Linked DNA regions of Danio rerio. The protein of the gene in region 1 binds, or shares a complex with, the protein of each later gene. Links are inferred from orthologs where the notes say so. Each region holds a gene or a part of one and is shown in the gene's direction. Other genes may lie near its edges.

Region 1 (3,837 bases):
TGACAACTGTAATGAGGCTGTTTATGGGAAAATCTTACCTCTGATTTATATTCGATGACTGTGAGTGTCAACATTCAAAATTAAAGTTCTCCTTTTCACTTATAATGTCTCATTGCTCATCATCATAAATTAAAATATTGACACATGACAGCTGAGCGGAATATATGAGACTCAAAAATAAACTCTGACTAATGTGAGGAGAGTTTACTCACACATGACTTGTTTTAGCTTGTTTTAGGTCCGTTTAGAAACTTTGTCATGTGAAATCAAACCACACCAATAACAAAATGCAACGTTGTAACAATTTTATTTATTTTTTTATTTACTGTATCAGCATAACCAATACAATATTTCAGCTTAAAAGGTGGACACATTTTTCACTGTCAGTCATTTAACTTTTTTATACAATACAGATAAAGTTACAAAACACAATGTAAAAATTAAATAAAGTCAATAATAACAATAACCATCAGAAATTATGTAAACAATATTAATAACAGAATGAGCTGAGCGGAAAGGCAAATCTCCCGATTTACCGGTCAATCTACGTTCCTACTCTCACTAGGGGTGTCACGATTTCGATTTTTAATCGAAATCAATCGAAATTTATGCTCAATTTCGATTATCGAATCAAAAAATAGAATCGTCGATGCTGCCACGCCAAGCGGGAAAAAAACAGGTTTGTTGAAGTGCTTGTTAAACTGCAGAAGCAGGAGACCCGTTGACAGAGCTTAAACCCTCTCCTCTTTCAATGAAGTCGCCGGTGTGTTAGCATTTTGGATTTCCAGTGAGTTATGTTGACAACGTTCGTGTTGTCGACAAAAAAACACAGTTTTGCAAGCTCTGCTATGTACGTATTACGTACGGTTCGTCCGATAGACAACACCGGCATCGCGATCCTCCGCCCGCCCCCGTTGCAAATTCGCTCGCGAAAAGTACACACTCAGGCCCTGTTTAAAAATGGCATTTTAGAACGACACAATTTGACATCCACAGTGGTGTGTAGCGTTTCTGAGCAGCCCTCCTTCCTCTCTACCTCTAAAAAATGCACATCACGTGACCACACAGACACAGACGCACACACAGCCATATGAGCTTGAGACAGCAGGTCCAGGCAGTCAGAGGACTGCTTCAATCTTTCACTCACTTGTACTTTGTCATTTTAGCCAACACCTCAGATACTGTTGGCTGGTTCCTGTTGGTTGTGCGTCTTTTTTACCGACGCCATTATAATGACACAGATCACTGCCTATTCACGAGTCCCGCAGAAAAAGTGATTGACAGGTGGTAATTATGTGTGTATCTTGCCTTTATTCATTTACTGTATGATTTGTTTATGGGTAAAACAAAGACCATGCAGGTCAGGTAGTTTAAACGGTAGGCTACAAATAATTAATTGGTCATTAATTAATTAATTATTCATAATCGAAAATCGAATCGAATCATGCCTTTAGAATCGAAAATGTAATCGAATAGAGGATTTGGAGGATCGTGACACCCTTAACTCTCACCTATGGTCATGAGCTTTGGGTCATGACCGAAAGGACAAGATCTCGGATACAAGCGGCCGAAATGAGTTTCCTTCGAAGGGTGGCAGGGCACACCCTTATAGATAGGGTGAGTAGCTCTGACACCTGGGAGGAGCTCGGAGTAGAGCCGCTGCTCCTCCACATCGAGAGAAGTCAGCTGAGGTGGCTCTGGCATCTGTTTCGGATGCCTCCTGGATGCCTACCTAGGGAGGTGTTCCAGGCATGTCCCACCGGGAGGAGGCCTCGGGGACATGCTGGAGGGACTATGTCTCTTGGATGGCCTGGCAACGCCTCGGGATCCCCCCGGAGGAACTGGAGAAAGTGTCTGGGGAGAGGGAAGTCTGGGGTTCTCTCCTAAGACTGCTGCCCCCGCGACCCGGCCCCGGAAAAGCGGCAGAAAATGAATGAATAAATGAATGAACACAATTCAGGAAAGGTCATATATACACTTAATAGTATACTAAATATGATTAAATCTTTATTCTCAGTCTGAAGAGAAGACTGTGAGAGAATGTTACTGGTTATTAAATTAGAAAATGCATATCTTCAGATCAAAACCAAGTAGCTATAACCTTTTTAATCCCTGTTTCGGAACAAAACAATCGATCTATAGGTGTGAAAGCACTCTTAAACAAAAGTGAAACCATCAGCAAAAAGCCTGACCCCCTTCGGGTTTGTTTAGAGCTCGTTTTGGGTTAATAATGTTTGAACTTACCGGTATTTTGAAATGGACGTTTGAATAATCCTTTTCAGAAACATTCTGGAACGTCAATGCCAGTGTGATCAGCCCACGTTTGTATTTACCTGTAAAGTTGTTTGGGAAATTTTCTTGATATTTACTTGTATCACTGTGTGAAAGGGTCTAATGCAGGGGTGGGCAAACTTGGTCCTGGAGGACCGGTGTCCTGCACAGTTTAGCTCCAACCCTAATCACACACACCTGCTTATAGATTTCGTGTGATCTTAAAGACACTGATTAGCATGTCCAGGTGTGTTTGACTAGTGTTGGAACAAAACTCTGCAGCGACACCGGCCCTCGAGGATCAAGTTTGCCCATCCCTGGGCTAATGGCTGCTTTTTTCTAACATTCCTCAGTATATCTTGTCTTTTGTTCAACAGAAAAAAGAAACTTAAGTAAGTTTAGAACCACTTGAATCTGAGTAAATATTTTGGGTGAGCTGTCCATGTAAATTCAGATCTTGTGTTGTCACAGATTTACAGCTGATTAGTTTGTTTGATGTTTGTCTGGTTTTGTCTTTCAGATCACCAGTGTGGGACTAATGTTAGGTCGAGAAACGGGCCGTTATGTTTATCTGAATTGGCGGGGCGGTTGGGGAGATGCGGCCTCTTCCCATGAGAGTTTGCAAGCTTCCCGCTCATTTAAAAGGAGGACACGCCTCCCAGAGCAGCATGTGGACTGGGACGCAGTGTCTGTACAGTCTAGTACCATGTAAGTTAATAGAAAATCTGAAAAACTAGTATATCGCTTCAGAAATTAATGATTTAAATCATAGGTCTTAAAACATTTTTAACTCTCAAATGGTTGTTGTCAAGTCATTGGTTAGTGACTAGACATTTAAGTTTCATTCAAAATGTGCCGAGTTCAAATTAATAAGGAATAAACAGCTAAGTTTTCCTTTCTGTATTCCCTGTAGGATCATCTCTAGAGTGCCCAAAATTTCTGTACAGCTGACCCATGAGCCTCCAGCACTTACCAATGAGATGTTCTGTATGACTGTTACCATCAAATCAGAAGAGGACACTGTGGGTAAAGACATCAAACTCACTGCAGGCCTCAAACCAGGTACTATCTGGGGGAAAATTACTTATTGTTTTAGTTATATAGAGATATATAAATGTTGATTTCAATAGTTTATCAATCATTTACTAACTCATTCTGAATGATCCTAGATCCTCAACTACTCTTAAATACAAATGGTTTGTAAATAATGGGATACTTAATTTAGTATTGAAAAATAAATCATTAACTAAGTATGAAAATACAATTATTAAGCACATTATATAGGTGCTAATAAATCAAGAATACAGCATTTGTAGCTGCAGTTATAAACTTCTTACTAACGTTTATTAATGTAGAGTTAATGCTTAACAGATAATGAATTCACTATTTGCTAATGCTTAATAAATGGTTTATAGTGTGTAGTTATTGTAAAGTGTTACCCAAATTCCAAATTTATATGAGGATTTGTCATTGAGATATTTGCTACTTTGTTTTCACTGGCATGTATTCCAGTAGTGACCCAGTCATGGTATATTACAATTAATGTACTACAAATACTAGTTCCTA
Region 2 (3,837 bases), on another chromosome or scaffold:
AATTAAAAACTGCTTTCATTCTAGCCAAAATAAAACAAATGAGACTGTATTATATTATCAAAAATATTATCAGACATACTGTGAAAATTTTCTTGCTCTGTCAAACATAATTTGGGAAATAAAAAAATAAAAAGCAAAGAGGGGCTAAAAAATCTGACTTCAACTGTTTATAGAAGTGAATTATTAGTCCTCCACTAGTACTTTCATGTTGTTTTTGTCATTTATTTTTTACTGATATTGTATGGCTAAGAGCTGCAGGAATAAACACATTAAGATGATAATAATAAAGATTAATATATTATTATCATATATTATTTATATATATATATATATATATATATTATTTATATATATATATATATATATATATATATATATATATATATATATATATATATATATATATATATATATATATATATATATATATATATGTGTGTGTGTGTGTGTGTGTGTGTGTATAAAATAATCAAGAATTAATTCACTAACAGCTAATTCTCTTGTTTGTTTTGTTCGTCTCACATGAAGGACTATGTGTTGGCTGTGGAGACGTATCGCTCCATCATCGAGTTTGAGCCGGAGCAGAAAGTGCAGCTGCTGAGTGGAATCGGACGCATTTTCCTGCAGGTGAGAGCAGAGACGCCTGGGGCCTGTAGCATGAAGACAGATCAGCTGGATACGTTTTAGTTTAGTTTGCGCCAATTCTGAGTTTTAGGTACCATGAAGGCAGCTCAGCTTAGCTCTCACTGAACGACTGAACGCTTGTCTTTCCTCTGCAGAGTTGCTTATTTTTGAAGAGTATCAAAGAGTCTGTTTTGCTCTTCATGTTTTATCTTCACTCAGATGGTAATTAACTTTCTGTTTGCTGGGATTATTAGATCGGAGACATCAGAACTGCGGAGAAATATTTTCAGGATGTGGAAAACGCCTGTCAGTCAAAGGGAAAAACAGCCACTGAAGAAACCTCGGTTCTGATGAACAGGTAAACGCCGATGTCAGTCACTTACTTCTATATTTCATGTGTGCACAGTATAGTATTGTGTGCGTCGCAGATGAAAATGAGAACGGAGGTCGTGTCGTGGATGAAAGTTAGGACCGGGGGGATGCGTCACTGATGAAAGTGAGTACCGGGTAGGGTTGCCGCCCTCACTATTATGCCGCCTTATGGACACGCCGGCCCTGAAGATAGTATTGTGTGCGCACGACATATACATACACATTGTGTGTGCACAACATAGACATACATATCATGTGTGTATGGCATAGACATACATATGGTGTGTGCACAACATAGTATTGTGTGTGCACGACATATACATACATATCGTGTGTGCACAACATAGACATACATATCATGTGTGCATGGCATAGACATACATATCGTGTGCAAACGACATATACACACACACACATCATGTGTGCATAACATAGCAATATGTGCGCACGACATATACATACATATCGTGTGTGCACAACATAGTATTGTGTGTGCACGACATATACACACACACACACATCGTGTGTGCATAACATAGCAATATGTGCGCACGACATATACATACATATCGTGTGTGCACAACATAGACATACATATCATGTGTGCATGGCATAGACATACATATCGTGTGTGCACGACATATACACACACACACACACATCATGTGTGCATAACATAGCAATATGTGTGCACGACATATACATACATATCGTGTGTGCACGACATATACACACACACACACACATTGTGTGTGCATAACATAGCAATATGTGCGCACGACATATACATACATATCGTGTGTGCACAACATAGTATTGTGTGCGCACGACTTAGTATTACATGTAAGTCTTGATTTGCACATCAATTTAATGATTACAGTGGTGTAAACTTGAGTTTTGATATTATTGGGCTGTTTTTGACTGGACATTAGGCCAGTTTTTTTATAAACATCTGGCAACCTTAACCTGTGTATAGACCTGCTATCAGGGTTCATGTATGTTATGTTTGAAGCAGCACTGTGCACATTTCAAACCACTTTTAACCGTATTGTAATGACATCAACAGGGCTTTTGTTTACCTGAGTCAGAATAACTACGCAGACGCGCACACGTGTTTCTCCAGTGTCCTACGCCTCGATCCCAAGAACCCAGTGGTAAACGCTCAACCCTTTATTCTTGTACACACGATCATAAGCACCACCAGAGAAGCATTAGTACTAACAATATTTTTTTTTCAGGCAAACAACAACGCAGCCGTGTGTCTCCTGTACTTGGGAAGGCTAAAGGAGTCCCTGGGCCAGCTGGAGAGCCTGGTGCACAAGGACCCGGCACTGTACCTGCACGAAAGCGTACTCTTCAACCTCACCACCATGTACGAGCTGGAGTCGTCACGCAGCACACAGAAAAAACAGGCGCTACTGGAGGCCGCCGCATGCAGAGAAGGAGACAGCTTTAACATCCAGTGCCTCAAGCTAGTATGAGACGCACACCACCCACACACAATCCAACACACACTGCAAAAAACACTCGTCTCTTTCTAGTCCAAATATTCAAACATTCTGAAGTCAAGAAGCGTTTTTTTTAGACAACTATCAAATATTGTTTTGTTTTTATGAATATGAAGTCAAAATGAAGTGAGTTTTTGCTTAAAACATGTAAAATAATCTTGTTTTTGGTTTGAAATAACACCGTTTACCTCATTGGCAGATTATTTCACTTGATTTTTGAAGGTCAAACTCACTTAAAGGGATAGTTCAGCCCTACATTTTTTATTTACTCACCATCTACTCACTCTCAAGTGGTTTCTTTCTTCTGTTAAACACAAAAGGAGAAATTTTAAAGAAAGTTGAAATCCTGTAACCATTGACTTCCATTGTAGGAAAAACAAATACTATGGAAGTCAATGGTTACAGGTTTTTCTTTTCTTTCTTCAAAGTATCTTCTTTTGTGTTCAAAAGAAGAAAGAAACTCATGAGGGTAAGAGGTGAGTGAACCATGAAAGAATTTTCTTTTTTTGGGTGAACTATCCCTTTAATTTCGACGACTTATTTCTGAAAACAATTATTTTTATTCCTCTAGGAAATGCTTCTTGATTTGAGGATTTTTAAATATTTGGATTAGAAACAAGACGAAAACTCTAAGTAAAACAGATTGTTTTGCAGTGGACTGGATATTAAAGGGATAGTTCACCCAAAAATTAAGCTTTACTCACTATTTACCCTCCCTCAGTCTTTATGAGTTTCTTAAAGTCAAACGAAGATAGTTTGAAGAATGTAGAAACCTGTAACCATTGATTTATGTACTAATAAATACTATGGAAGTGATTGGTTACAGGTTTCCAACATTTTTCAAAATATGTTCTGTTAAACACAAAAGAAAACAGTTTGAAGAATGTATAAACATGTAACCATTGACTTCTTTAGTCAAAAAGAGAGCTATGGAAGTCAATGGTTACAGATTTCCAACATTTTTCAAGATATCTTGTTTTGTGTTAATCAAAATAATACTAAAGTGTTAGTAAATGATGACAGAATTTTCATTTTTGGGTAAAATACCCTTTAATTAATAATCAGGCGGCAGGTTTGAGAGAATATTCTGAGGCCAGAATTGAATATATTGTCCCGCATTTAAAGCTTTTACGTGTTCATGTTTGTCAGTCGTCATGTGTGTGTGTACAGTCAGGACCAAAGTTACCTTGATAACTCGATGATATTTCCTCTGAGCAGGCCAGAAGAAGGGTTACACACCTTTACTCGTGTTTCAGAAATCAAGAAATTAAACGCATGTAATGATTGTTTTCAGAGAGTTTAAGCTGATGTTATGTGCATTTCTTAATATGAC

What was found.
Region 2: trappc11 (region 1) and trappc12 share a complex: the UniProt entries of both Homo sapiens proteins name them as parts of the multisubunit TRAPP (transport protein particle) complex. The link is inferred for Danio rerio from reciprocal best matches to the Homo sapiens genes TRAPPC11 and TRAPPC12.

Annotation. Positions count from the first base shown.
Region 1 is NC_133189.1:7,876,858-7,880,694, reverse strand, and holds part of trappc11 (trafficking protein particle complex subunit 11), read left to right. Parts: intron 1-2,791; coding exon 2,792-2,979; intron 2,980-3,184; coding exon 3,185-3,333; intron 3,334-3,837. UniProt on the Homo sapiens protein: Involved in endoplasmic reticulum to Golgi apparatus trafficking at a very early stage.
Region 2 is NC_133192.1:57,317,386-57,321,222, reverse strand, and holds part of trappc12 (trafficking protein particle complex subunit 12), read left to right. Parts: intron 1-528; coding exon 529-627; intron 628-878; coding exon 879-982; intron 983-1,848; exon of another isoform or gene 1,849-2,062; coding exon 2,063-2,150; exon of another isoform or gene 2,151-2,234; coding exon 2,235-2,477; 3' UTR 2,478-3,837. UniProt on the Homo sapiens protein: Component of the TRAPP complex, which is involved in endoplasmic reticulum to Golgi apparatus trafficking at a very early stage.